Tamandua tetradactyla: one gene and its partner. The protein of the gene in region 1 binds, or shares a complex with, the protein of each later gene. Links are inferred from orthologs where the notes say so. Each region holds a gene or a part of one and is shown in the gene's direction. Other genes may lie near its edges.

Region 1 (7,044 bases):
TCTTACAGAGAAATGTTGCCCTGGAGTAAAATATATAATAATATGCTATTTGTCTTTCTTTTCTGCAAGGAGAAGTAGCACAAAATTAGAATCACTTATATGGAAATTCAAAAATTTCCTTTACATAGCAACTTTCCTTTGTATATGTAAAGTTGAAAAAATAAACTGATGCCTGGCAGGTTGTTTGGGAAATGACTTCTGCAATTAAAGAAAAACAATGACTTGCTAGAATTTGAACATTCTTTTACTGATTGATAAATGTGCTACACCCACTTACTGGGGTTTAAATTAAAACACATGTGTAGAATTCTGACTGCCTTTGTAACATGTGTAGATATGTGTAGATATACTAAATCCCCATGGTACATTTTGTGAAGCATTACAAAGCATATTCTTGAAGTGTTGAGAAATCTCACTGCTGCTTGGGATACTAGCACCCCTGAAGTAATTTACAACTCCTTTGCAAAAGCTAGTCTTGGAACCAGTGACTGTTCAAATGAACAGAGCAGGATACATGATAAATCTGACTGGAATGAGCTACCCCAAATTCAAATGTTGGAGGTTTGTAGGTATTGATGTCACGTCAGCTCGCTCTGCTGATGTGGAATTTCAAAGAGCAGACTCCCTTAACATAGGTCTATTATGAGTAGAGAGGAATGGGAAGAAAAGTTGCCAAAGTCGAAACATCTCTGGAGAAAAGAAGCATGAATAGCACTGACCATCAGTGATTGGTGATAAACTGCAATCTTTGGAATGATTTTGTTTCCAGAGCACCCAAATCACTAAATATGTTTGGAACTATGGAAGAACTGTTGGGATTCAATCCAATGTTAAACAGAAAGAGAGAAAAGGGTTGTTTTAGATATGACTAAAGTTCTATGGGATTTGTGTCCCTTATTTAGCTCACCCAAGTCTTTCTAAGAATGAATTCTTAGTCCAGGCTCTGCTTCTTATTAGTTTTGTAATCTCTGACAACCAGTGGATTCCTTTCCTGGAAGGAAAGTTGACTGGATAAGATGAATTCTATCTGAATTGTCAGTTCTACAACGTCAGGTGTGAGAGCTTGCAGGAACGGAATTGGCAACTGCAACTTCTATAAACTCAAACTATCTATATCATGAATTACAGAGAAGGAGGCTCTATTTTTCAAGAGCTTGATGTTACCACACTTTTGAATTTGAAAATTAAAAAGACAACTGTTTAATTGGTACTCATACACTTTAGTGTACAGCTCCAGAAAGAAACACTTTCCTTGGAAAGCACCCAATATTTTTTGATAACTGTACATATTAAATATTACCTGGATAAAATATGCTAAATAAAGTCAGATAATTAAAAAAAAAAAAAGTAACTCTGCTATTTCCCAAGTAGACTCTCAACTCAATTGACTCTACATTGTTGTTTATTCTGTTCCTGGATTGTCCTTCCCATCCAAATCATTCCAGGCTCAATTCTGCCAATTTATCATGGGTTTTTGGAAAGAAAACACCTTTTTTTCTGCTTAATTCCTATACAAATTCTCACTTTATGCCTTATAAAATAAGTTATGCAGGGATCATCTCCTCTACTCCTTCCTTCCCCTACCTTCATGGTCCCTTCTTTCCTGCTTCCCATCTAACCCTTCCTTCCTTTTAATCTTTCCTTTCTAAATAGTTAATTTCTTGAAATTTCTCTTTTAGATTTTATCTCCAAATCCACAATCTTCACTTAGATATTTTTAAGCATGTAAGACTCAGACACTCAATAAATGAATGCATATCTGAAAGAATGATAATATCAACCGGAGGAAGCAATGATCAGACTTTGTCTTGTCTGATTAGTCATGGAGAAGCAAGATAAACATGGAGACGAATGTGAAAAGTTGTCCCATTGAATGTTGCCTGGACTAACTGCCAGTTTTTGAATCTAAGTTTTGATCTGATAAATTTTAATTTTAATTTAATTCGAGCCCTCTAGATTCCTGGGAAGTCAAACTTATAAAACCAACCATTATCTGTTTTCTGTATATATTCAGCCACCAAAGCACAGGGATGTTCTATGGAACATTTTCATTTCTGTGAAAACCCAATTTTTTAAATCTAGTGTTCATAGCTCTCCTCTACATTGGGTATATTTACTCTTTCTCTCTTCCTCTCTTTCCTTCTTCTGTTCTTTTCCTTTCCTTCTCTCCTCACTCCTGTTTTTTCCCCTTCTTCCCTTCCTCTCTTTCTCTTTCCTTTCCTTGTTCCACTAAATGACTCTTTAATTTACCTATTCTTTCTCTAATGCATTGCCCTTTTAAATTTTGACTTCAAAATACAATCTACTTCTTGCATTATCAGTAAACTCCCTGGTTCTATAATCTTGGTTTGGATATCCTGAAGAGATATGAATGAGGATTTTGAGTATATAAATCTTCAATTCATTCTTGTACTACAGAGACTTACGAAGACAGCGTGAATCTTTTTCTATGGAAATAAAACATTGTAAGAATTCAGTTGTTAGGATATTTGGAAAATATGATATGCAAAATCTGGGAATTTAGAAACATCTGCATGATTTGTGAAATTTTTTAAACTTTTCATTCACATTTATGATTTTTGCTTTAAGCCTTGCATTCATAATTAACATATTATGTGAGCAATTTTGGGGTACCTACTATATGTCAGGTACTATGGTAAGTACTAAGAGTATAGAAATAAAGAGAAAAATACATATCTTCAAGAAGCATTAGTAAAATAGGAAGACATAAATAAAGCTATCACACTACACTTTCAGTATGAAAAACACAACAGCAGAGGCATATATAAGACACCATTGAATAAAATAACTTCTCAGAAAAAGTCTTTGAAGTTATTTTAAAAGCTGACATGTGGGCCATGCTCCATGCTACAGTGCAGACTTTTTACCCAACAAGTGACAAGATGACTTGGCCAGCTTAGTGCACAGCCAAGCCTCAACACATGTCTGATCTTCAGGTCTCAGGACGTTTTGCCCTTCCGAAAACAAAAAAGCAAAAAAGGCAAAAAACAAAGTGTAGTGATCAGGGAAGGAGGTTTGGAGGTGGTAGTTGTAATAAGAATTGTAAAATGTTTAACACAATTTTTTCATCTGTGAATGGTTAGGGTCTTTCCTGTGAGCATTTATCACAAGCCAATGAAATGAATCATACTCTACTTGAACAGAAGGGAAGAAAAGGGAAGAGAAAGCAAGGAAAATGTCGAGTGAGCATGGGGAAAGAATTTAGGATGGCTTTTCTCTTCTAATTTCAACACCTACTAATTTGAATTTAGGGAGGAGGAAATGAGATTGAAAGAGATAAGAAAAATAGAAGATAAAGACAGAAGAGCATTTTGCTTCACTGAGCACTTATTTCATTTCAATTCTATGAGGGAATTGATGTAGTAGCTATTATGGGTTTATTACTCATTAATAAACTTGGTACAGAATTAAAGACAAAAGAATGGACACATCTCTTTCTTCATCATAAACCCTCTTTACCCTATCCTACCTTTGAATATTTCCTCCTCCAAAACTAGCAAATCCAAGCAAAATATCAATAGCAGGTTTTCAAAGCAAAGACAGAGTGTAATAGTATACAGCATAGACAATCGCTTTTCATCTTCCTATGTAATATTACATTGTATTTAATTTTTAAAGTGCTCTTAAATAAACTGCATTTCCAAGTTCTGCACAATTCTTTTTACCAAGTCATCCTGTTTCTCCTCTCATACACACAAACATAAATTGTCTAGTAAATTCCAGTGATTTTTTTTTTCCCCTAGAGTGAAAAAAAAATCCCAGTTTTCTCCTTTACCAGAACAGGAAGCATTTCCTGGAGATTAATCACTGTTTTGCCTGGCAAAATTGGAAAGGTTGAGAGAAATTAGTAAAGTAGGTTATATCATTCTACTTGAATTCAGAATTTTTGGAAATGGTCCTGCTGTCAGTTGGATGAAAAAATCATGAGTCAAGTTGTGGGTGATCTAAGCAAACACTGTCACTCTATAAAAGTTGGTCTTCAGAGGGTGGACTTAGAAGGAGGCAGGCAGAGAACGAGGTGTTAAGACAACGTAGAGCTGAGGAAGACCAGTGGAAATGAAGACGCTTCCAGTCCTGCTGCTGCTGTGGGTAGCAGTGTGCTCAGCCTATCCTCTAGGTGGAGCAACCAAGGATGAAGACACCAGCATGGATCTTGTTCAGGTAATTGTGGAGGCAGCTGTCACACCCACCGGAAGGGCCATCTGATGAAATTATCTCTTGCCCATCTTTAAAACCTACACAGGATGCGTCTAGCTTATGGTGTAGAATAGTTCAGGGATATAGGATAATACAATGTTGGATGAGGAAAGATCTCAGAATCACATTGTCCAGGCTCCTTCTTTTAGGTAGGAAGAAATGAAGGCCAGAAATGTTAGGTGTGGTGTCTGGATCACACAGTGCTCTATAGCAGCAGCATCTGACTTGAGACACATGAATAAATGGAGAGGTTATGAAACATCTCTTGCCTTGGACCTTCTTTAGGTATTTTGATACTCAAATGTAATTTTAGCTAAATACTTATATGGCTAGCATATATTTAGGCAAAAGGACTTGTCTTACTTTTTTCTTAAGCCAGATACTTGTGAGCAGTATAAAGGAGAAAATTGAGGAAAGTGAGTAAATTTACCTGAAATATACAATTAAGCCAAAAGAGGTTTCCTTTATAGGTCTTATTTCCTTTAAGTGAGCTGGATGTTTGCCCCTCTTTTCCATTTCACGTTCACTGCAACACAGAGGGGAAGCAGGCTTTAATTGAGGGCATGAAGGGGAGGCTTTACTTGAAGAAATCAATGGAAATATTATATTTATTGATGTTTCAACAAGCTAGAGGAATGTTTCAAATAAATGAAGAATATGAGCAATTGTCCAAATTATCATGAAGACAAGCAAAAAAAGAATAACCTAAAATTATACTTATTCCATTAGCAATACCTTGAAAAGTACTACAATCTTACAAAAGATGTGAGGCAGTTTGTTAGAAGAAAGGACAGTGGTCCTGTTGTGAAAAAAATTGAAGAAATGCAGAAGTTCCTTGGATTGGAGGTGACGGGGAGGCTGGACTCCAACACGCTGGAGGTGATGGCCAAGCCCAGGTGTGGAGTTCCTGACGTTGGTCAATTCGATACCTTTCCCGGAGTCCCAAAGTGGAGGAAAACTCACCTCACTTACAGGTAACGGGACCAAAGAGATTTTCACATAATATCAAAACTTTGTAAGTTACTATCACTGGAGAAAATGTTTTCCTCTTACAGGATTGTGAAATATACATTGGATCTTCCAAGGGAGGCTATTGATTCGGCCATAGAGAAGGCTCTGAAAGTCTGGGAGGAGGTCACTCCTCTCACATTCTCCAGGGTGAATGAAGGAGAGGCTGACATAATGATCTCTTTTGCAGTTAAAGGTAAAAAACATAAAATGTATCTATTTGTTTGGTGTTGTTTTATTGGAAAAGGTTAAAAATAAAATCCTAATTATCTACCTGTCCAATAATTTTTTTCCCTGTCTAGAACATGGAGATTTTTTCCCTTTCGATGGTCCTGGAAAAGTTTTGGCCCATGCCTACCCACCCGGCCCGGGATTTTACGGAGATGCTCACTTTGATGATGATGAACAGTGGACAGAGGATAAAGTAGGTGAGTTAAGCACCCCTCAGGATGATTTTGACATTAATTTGTTTTTATATTTGGAAAACCATAACCATGAATGCTCAAGAAATGATTGCTCTGGATTTTCCAATGGGTAAGGGAGCATCAGAATTTTAATTTTAATTGTTACTGAAAATACTTTCAGATCTCTAAGGAGTTTATTTCCTGACTTGGTAAGCACTATATAAGAAGAAAAATTGCGTCTTTCTTTGATGATCATGGACCCGGGGGATCTTAGCGCCATTGTTATTAAGGGCAATTTCTCATTATGTTGAATTTAATTTATCCAACGGATAGTGTATTACATTAAATCTACACTGACCCTAAGATGTACCCGTGATATTTTTTGTGTATTTTCCCCTTTACTTCTTTCCTCTTCAAAACAGAAATCAGAAACTGAGGTTCCCTTTTAGGTTATTCTGGTTAAATCACATTTTACTCTTCAAAGTTAAGCAGTGTTTTCATGGATTTTTAATGAAGATTAACCCCCAAATATGTTGTCAAACTGTTCAGGTAAAAGATTGTTTCTCAGTTCATAATGTAGACTTTGAGGAAGGATTTCCAAAGCATTCAAACAAATAATGCTCTTTCTAAGATTTGGTTGGGATTTATAATGGAAATGCAAACAGAGTCTCCATGGAGAATACAAATGTGAAGTTAGTGCTGGATAAAATTATTGGTTTGATTGAATCAAAACTTCTTCCCTCAAAGTCTCAATTGAGAACTTTCCTAGGGTCATGGGTAACACGCATAACACTTACAAAGTAGATTTACTTGCTGTGTCAATCATAATTACACAATTCTTTCTAATTTCACTATTATATTGTTTTTTGGTTCTTCTCATTGTTTTAAAATCTGAGTACAGCCACTGTTTGTGTGGCCAAAATAGTTCTTTTTTTTAATGTGTGAGAAATGTGAGACATGACTGGGCATGTTATGTTTTAAACCAGTTTTTTTTATCCTATGCATCAATCATTGTTAATCTTTTTGGACTCAACATGTATTTAATAATGATGATGAGTCTGAAAAATCAGGCAGGGCAAGATCCTAATGGAAAGTAAGATAAGAATCCTTGTTTAAGGATTTCAGATTGAAATGTACAAACCGTGATTCAGTATTCCTACCCTGAGACAGTGTTTGGCTTTATATTTTAATTGACATATGAAAAGAAATATTATTGATATGCTGAATAATTGAGTTCCTTCTACTCCTGAATATAAGAAAAGGGATCTGGTTCTTGAGAACCAGTAGGCTTCTGAGACTTGCAGTGGGAAAGTGGGAGTAGGATGGTTGGGTGGAAGTGAGGGCAGAATAGGATGTAGCTGGAAACTTTATCTCAAAGACCGATTTCAAATATAAGTCCTGAGAAACATTTAGT
Region 2 (7,345 bases), on another chromosome or scaffold:
AAAACCAGCTGAATGTAGAAAACAAATATACAAATAGATAAAGCCCGGCCTCCCCCCGTGGGAACACAATCATACAGAATTACTGATATATGCTGAATACACAAATCACATCTATATATAAACATATGATGCCAGATGCATGCACTGTGTTCAAATACACATACACATGCAAACAACCTCCTGACCCTCAGGGACTCACCTTACCCATCCCAGAGTGTGCATGTCCCATCTTCACAACCACAGGGTACGTTGTACTGCTGAGCTGAGTAGGGTGAAAAGACAGAGGAGGTCCAATCAGGGTAGGAGGGCCCTGTGCCAGGGGCAAGAGTGGTGCGCAGGGGAACCCATCCAGTGGGAACAATGTAATGGGCCATTTCCCAGAAGAGGCAGGTCAGAGACAGGCAGACAGCAGCTAGGGGTCACACAGTGCCCTTCGAGTTGGGAATTGAACCCAGAGCCCTGCCTGCCTACCCCTCCTCCCACCACCCCCAAGTCTCCAGACTTCCTGCCCATGCTTTCCCAGGAAGAAGCATGGGATAAAAGTGGGGGACTTTCCGGAAAGGGAAAGTTTGTTTTCACAGTGGGTGAATGATGGGGAGGTGAGTGTGTGTGCATGTGTGTATAGGGGTGTGGTGGTGAGCATGTGGCAACTGGACCCCACAGCTAGGCCTTGCATGCAAGCCTTGTTCCCCACCCACACAGCCTAGAGCTACACACATTCAGAACTACACAACCAAAATCAGAGATGCCCACGCACATTGAGACACGAGATTGAGAGACCCACAACCAACACAGGCTCCAAAGCACACCTAACCTCTCAGGACACCCACAACAGTCATTCATCCAGCCACATGCTCAGCACGGGAAAGTGACCAGCCTTTTTGGCCTGCCTCCTTACCCAGCAACACACACGCAACACTCCTGGACTCACAATCAACACTTTGGGGTACAGACACAACACTGCCCCCCTCCTCTCGCCTAACCACATAACAATCAGAGGGACTCACACGATAACCCAGGCAACACAGAAACAATCCTCAGGGGCACAGCCAAAGGATACAAAGGCACATACAGCTCTGACAGGCACAGATACAAAATTGGACACATCTTCACTCACAGGCACACATATCACACCCTCAGGTACCTGCAAAACAAACAGAAGGACCTGCACAACAGAGGTACACACACATAATTCTAGGTGTTCACATAGCCGCTGCAATCCACACCACACTCCTGGACACTAAAAGTATATTTGGACGCACACAGCATGCCTTGCCATATACACAACACAGAGAGGCATACAAATGGTCAGGGACATCCCCAGTACTCCTAAGTACAAAGCTAGCACTCTTGGGTGTGTGCACACAACATTCCTAAAGCGCATGTGCACGCGCGCGCATTCACATACACATACTCGGGTGTGGGGGACACCTCAAGTCTCCCCAGGCCCTGGGCGGGATAGAAGGGATGGGGTTGGATGATCCCAGCCCTGCCATAGCATGTATGCTATGCAGGGTCTCTCTTCACGCCCCTCCTGCTGTGGAGACCAGTGTCTGACAGGGTAGAGAGATGCCATTCCCGGAGGGGATGCTGGGGCGGAGGCAGTTCCCAGTTCCCGACAAGCACAGGAAGCCCGCAGGCTCAGAGTGACCGACTGACCTTCAGACCTCACCCTCCCTCTGCCTCACCTCCCCCCCACTCCACGTTCCTCATTTCCCAAATGACTGACGTCATTATGGGGGGGGGGGGGTAGTGCTGAGAGGCTCAGTGTTGGGATGGGGTATTCCGGGTCCTCTAGGTAGCTTGCCAGGGAAACAATGCAGAGGCATGCACATGATGTAACCCTGAGGCATACACCCAGCACACAGAGAGGGAATCAAACTTTCACAATTACATAGACAACACAGATACAAAGGCAGAAACACAACTCCCAGAAGCAACAGAACACACAGGGATATACAAAACACTCAGGTAGGCATGTGACTCTCAGAAACAGACACATAAGTCTCAGAAGCACACACACAACTTTCTTAAGCACACATACAACTCTGAGGCACACATAATTCTTAGAAGCACATGCACAATTCTCAGAGGCACACACACACACTCTCAGAGGCACACTCAACTCTCAGAGGCACACACACAACTCTCAGAGGCACATACACAGAAGTCTGAGAAGCACACAGTGTTAGAGGCTGAAACATACCAGACGGCTACTCACACACATGCACACACCCCAAGGTTTCTAGATCCTTCTTTTCAAAAACAGCCCTTGTTTCCTCTGAACCTGAACACAAGACTGTGTATATGTGCCTTCACATGTGTGTGCATGAATGGACCTTTAGATCTGGGGTCCTCCTGGAGAGTTCTCAAATCTTGGCCTCTCTTCTTCCTAAGGCCATGTAGGATCCCAAGAAAGTCACTTAACCCCTCTCTGTGCCTCAGTTTCCTGATCTGTACAAAGGACATAGTCAAACCCAAGCTCTTGTTATGTTGTGGGGATTGTTGAGTGTTAGCTGTGCAGCCACCAGCTGGACATCAAGGGCCCCCACCCCCATCCGGCTCCTCAGATTATCCAACACCCAGACACCCTGCTACAAAACTTCACTGATTTCACAATGTGTGTGATAACCCAGACCAACACAGCCCCTCACATCTAAGTAGCAAACTGTGCTGACGTACGTTTCACAGAAACAGAACTAGGGTCAGCGAGGGGCTGCAGCAGAAATTTCCCTTCCCTCACTTCTCCCTCAGTCACGCTACTGACTTACTCAACCCCATCTCATTCACTTTTACTACCCCCAGGCACTCATCCACTTTCACAGCTAGCTTCTCCAAGGTCTTGGTTTACTGCCGCCTCTCCTGCCCTTCAAGAAAGTAATTTCTTCATTCATTTCTAGGAAGGTCACTCAGCCCCTTTGTGTCTCAGTTTCTTCATCTAACTCACTGGAATGTTGCTGAAGAATAAATTCGTTATTTCCAGTGTAGGGGAGGGGAATTTAGCCCAGTATCTGGCTGGCATAAAGAAAGTCTCAATCGTCAACCAATGTTGGACATTGTTATTATTATTAGTTTAATATCCCTTCATAACCAGCATTCTTTAACAAGGTAATCTAATTGGGATTGACTGAATGAGATAATGAACATACAAAGACTTTGAAAGGATGCTTGATACCTAGTAATCTCGAACTGTGAAGGCTAGTTGATGTCATCCTCCTTACTATTGGTCTAGGTGCCCTGAGTTAATCTAGTTTAATTAGCAAAGGGGGAATGGAGATTAAATAAAATAATTTACACAAAGACTTTAGGGCACAGTATACAGTAAGTGCTCAATAAGTGGCGGCTATTAGCACTATCATCTTCGTTATTATTGGTCTACTGTCCCTGAATTAACCAGGGATGTTAACCAGCTCTCAGGCCCCCAGAACCCCAGGGAAGATTCAGGCATTATCTGGAGGCTGGTGGGCAGTGATTGCCTCACCTCATGCCCCACCAGGGCTGTGGGAGGGTTGGTGGGGAAGGGGCAGGGCAGGATGGGGTGGGGATCAGTTTTCTACTGACTCACTGGCCTCTTTCACCACATTCTACTCTCTCCCTCCATTCCCTCCTTGCCAGGACTGTGCCCCGCCTGGGTTAAGAGCCTGGTGCTAGTGAGCTAGTTCAAATCCCAGCCATAACTTGTGACTCTGAGAAGGTTCTTCAGTCCTTTCTATGCCTCATAGTTTCTCATCTGTAAAATGGGAATACTACAAATACTATCTGAATTTTAAACGAGATAAACTAGGCTGACTGCCTGGCAAACAGTAGTTGCCATATAAATGCTGGCTATTTGCCTATGTTTTTTGAGGGTGGGTTAAGACCCAGCTCAGTGAAATCCCAATTCTCCCCCTAATGAATTCTGTGATCTTGGATAAGTCACTTAACCACTCTGTGCTTCAGTTTCTCCACCTTGTATTCCTCCAAGTCCCTTATCTCCTTCACTGCTTTGACTTGATTGGTTTCTCTCCGCCTCCCCTGCTCTTCACCAGAATGTCAGGAAAGGGTTTTCTGTGCATGTGCTTGGCACACAGTAGGTGCACAATAATAAATGCTTGTTGAAGGAATAAACTAATTAGGATTTCAGCCATCCCTGTGGCTGAGGAATGTGGAAGGGGTCTGGAAATTTGAGAGGACTTGGAGGAATCCTGCCTCTAAGCGCTCCATTGAGCCTGCTCGAAAGGACTGGTGCTCCACGTGGAAATGGGGGAGGGGGAAGGCTAGGGCCTGAGGCCCCGGGGGGAGGGAGAGGAGGAGGGTGCAGCCCCTTTTCCGCAGCCCAGCGGCCCGCCCCTTGGCCTCTGCAGTGATGGTGGGCGGATGAGTAATGCATCCAGGAAGCCTGGACGCCTGTGGTTTCCGCGCCGTTGCCACCCCCGCCCCTCGCACGGGCATTTATCCTGTACCGCTCAGACCCTGCCGCCATCTCCGCAGACCCATCGCCTAGAGAGACACCAGAGGTAGGCAAGGGGCCTGGGTGGCACTGCAGAGCCTGGGGCTGGGCGGGAGCTTAAACGGCAACCAGGTCTGTCCATTTCTGTGACCACGGTCTGGCTGTGGGCATCAGGATCCTGGGCTGGTCAAGGGAGAAAAGGGTGGAAGGAACTGATCCTCTACCCACACCCCCTCCCAAAACTCTCTCTACCCCTTATATCCATACCTGTGACCCCTTAATACCACAAACTCCTCCCAACCTACCAACTCCCCTAAATTCCTCCAGTTCCCATTTCCCAAACTTGTCAAACTTCAACCCCCTAAATCTGAAAACTTCCTCTACCCCCAAATCCCCCAAGCACTCTACCCCCTTCACCCCCCAAACTCCGTCAATTCCCTAAATCCCCAACCTCCAAATTCTTTAACCTTCCTAAACCTTAAACTTCCCTAGCCACCTATACCTCTCAAAGTCTACAGCCTCTAAATAATTCCCAACCTCCCCCAAACTCCTCCAGCCCCCAAACCCCAAATTCCTTACCTCCAAATTCTCCCAATTCCCCTAAATCCTCAAATTCCCCTAGTCCCCTTAAACTCTGCAGCCCTCTAATCCCCCAATTCACCAGAACTTCACAGCCCCCTAAACTCTCCCAACCCGCTAAACTTCTTTGAGTCCTCCACATCCCCAAGCCCCTTAAAATCCTCCAAATCCTCCTCCAGGACGTACTGGGGTAGATTGGGGTAGGAAGCCTGCCCAGGCCAGCAGATCAGTTAGGCTGGGAGCCTACTGACCTCCCCTCCCCTCCCTTCCCCTCCCCTCCCCTCCCACAGAACACATCATGGCCCCCTGCACATCCCTGGCCTCTGGTATCCTGTTGTTGCTGTGGCTGATAGTCCCCAGCAGAGCCTGCACCTGTGCCGCACTCCACCCGCAGACAGCCTTCTGCACCTCGGACCTTGGTGAGTGTGCACCCCATGCTGCCCATACACTCCATGTTTCTGTTCCCTCTTAGTCTGATTAGGTTGACAGTGGCACACCCAGCTGAAGAACAAGATTCCACCCATCCTTCCACTTACTCTGCTCTAGCCACACTGGTCTCCTCCCACTTACGTGAGTACACCAGGCTCAGTCCCACCTCAGGGCCCTTATACTGGCTGCTCCCTCTGCCTGGTACACCCTTCCCTCCGGGTATCCATATGGGTGACTGCCTCAAATGTCACCTTCTCAGGGCAGCCTTCCCTGACTGCCCTATTTAAAAATTTAGCCCCTGCTCCCTAGTACTCCTGAACAGCCCCCCTCCCCCACCTCTGGAATTCTCTACCACACTTAATACCTTCCAACATCCCATATACTTATTTATTTTGCTTGTTTCTAGTCTGTCTCCCCCCTTGGCTAGCATGTGAACTCCACAAGGGAAGGGATTTTTGTGTTTTGTTCACTGTTGTGTCCCTACCACCCAGAACAGTGCTTGGCACAGAGTGGGTGCTCCAAAATATTTGTGGGGAAAATGACAAAGGGATATATGAACAAGGCTTAGAGCAGTGCCTGGCAAAGAGTAGGCTGTCAATATTCGGATGGATCCATTAACCGGATGGATCCATTAACAAAGGCATAAAGCGCTAGTGTGCTGTTGGCCAGTCAGTAATCCCTATTTAAGAATGTGCTCTGCTAGTTTTATTATTGTGATTATTTAATTTTTATTGTCTGCGTGCCGTCCATTTGACTCCTTTCCCTTTTCTCCTGCAGTCATCCGGGCCAAGTTCGTAGGGCCCGCAGAAATCAACCAGACCTCCCTACACCAGCGTTATGAAATCAAGATGACCAAGGTATTCCTCCTACCCGTTCCCCAGCAATTCCTAACATCTACCTCCCCATCAAAATAGAAGCCTGAGGCTACAGGTCGAGGAGGAAGTTGGCTGTGATCTCAGGATGTTGTAGGACTTCAGCAGAACATGGAGCGGGAGATTATATCAGTAAAACAGAGATTTTTCCCTTCATCCATCAACAGATGTTCAAAGGGTTCGATGCCTTGGGGGATGCTCCTGATATCCGGTTCATCTACACTCCAGCCATGGAGAGCGTCTGCGGATACTTCCACCGGTCCCAGAACCGAAGCCAGGAGTTTCTCATCGCTGGTGAGGTCCCTCCCTGTGCCACGCCAACCCATAGCTCGGACGTTGCCTAGCAACCGCGGGGAGGGGGAGCGAGGTTTTCAAAGATCCCAGTTGAAACGGGGACCGCCCTAATTTCAGCCTATCAGAAGGCAGGGGCTTTCGTGCACGAGGGACGCCAATCAGGCGCCGCCCTTGCCCTGGGCCAGCCAATCAGAAGCTTCCTGTTGACTCTCTCCCTCTGCCCGTTCCAGGACGCCTGCAGGAGGGAGGCTTGTACATCACTACCTGCAGCTTCGTGGTTCCCTGGAGCAGTCTGAGCTTTGCTCAGCGCCGGGGCTTCACCAAGGCCTACTCTGCTGGCTGTGAGGAGTGCACAGTGAGTGCTTGGGCCCTGCTGTCATCCTGGAGATAGTTCCTTGGGCTCGTCCCCAAACCCTGGGATTGTTTCTTACTCCTCTGGCGACTTCTTATCCCTAAGGCTGCTCCCCAAATCCTAGGACCTTCCCTGATCTCTCGCTATTCCCCCAAACTTGAGGCTATTTCCTTGGAAATTCTGATTGTTCCCTTGCCCTGTGTCTGATACCTTGGGATTGGCTGTTCCCTGTTCTTCCCACTCTTTCTTGCGACTTTTCTCCAGTCCCTCTGTCTGTCCCAACCTTCTGGATTCCCTGGAATGTTCTCCAAGAACCCCAAGTGCTATTCCTCAAATCCACTGATTGTATTCTAGCACATCTGATTGTTGCTCTGCTCTACAACCTTGACT

What was found. The genes of interacting proteins can lie anywhere in the genome.
Region 2: the proteins of stromelysin-1-like (region 1) and TIMP1 are in contact, whole or in part, in a crystal structure (PDB 1UEA), measured with the Homo sapiens proteins. The link is inferred for Tamandua tetradactyla from reciprocal best matches to the Homo sapiens genes MMP3 and TIMP1. Residues at the interface, in NP_002413.1 of Homo sapiens: Phe100, Thr102, Phe103, Phe171, Tyr172, Gly178, Asn179, Val180, Leu181, Ala182, His183, Ala184, Tyr185, Ala186, Thr207, Thr208, Gly209, Thr210, Val215, His218, Glu219, His222, Phe227, His228, Tyr237, Pro238, Leu239, Tyr240, His241, Ser242; in NP_003245.1 of Homo sapiens: Cys24, Thr25, Cys26, Val27, Pro28, Pro29, Val52, Thr56, Leu57, Tyr58, Pro87, Ala88, Met89, Glu90, Ser91, Val92, Cys93, Thr121, Cys122, Leu156, Ser157, Pro159, Gln173, Leu174, Gly177, Glu179.

What each region holds. Positions count from the first base shown.
Region 1 is NC_135334.1:39,309,376-39,316,419, forward strand, and holds the start of stromelysin-1-like, read left to right. Parts: upstream 1-4,030; 5' UTR 4,031-4,077; coding exon 4,078-4,182; intron 4,183-4,947; coding exon 4,948-5,192; intron 5,193-5,273; coding exon 5,274-5,422; intron 5,423-5,528; coding exon 5,529-5,654; intron 5,655-7,044. UniProt on the Homo sapiens protein: Metalloproteinase with a rather broad substrate specificity that can degrade fibronectin, laminin, gelatins of type I, III, IV, and V; collagens III, IV, X, and IX, and cartilage proteoglycans.
Region 2 is NC_135353.1:122,544,359-122,551,703, reverse strand, and holds the start of TIMP1 (metalloproteinase inhibitor 1), read left to right. Parts: upstream 1-4,343; 5' UTR 4,344-4,496; intron 4,497-5,298; 5' UTR 5,299-5,306; coding exon 5,307-5,427; intron 5,428-6,214; coding exon 6,215-6,294; intron 6,295-6,476; coding exon 6,477-6,603; intron 6,604-6,833; coding exon 6,834-6,958; intron 6,959-7,345. Other genes in the region: SYN1 (synapsin-1), read right to left, coding at 200-262. UniProt on the Homo sapiens protein: Metalloproteinase inhibitor that functions by forming one to one complexes with target metalloproteinases, such as collagenases, and irreversibly inactivates them by binding to their catalytic zinc cofactor.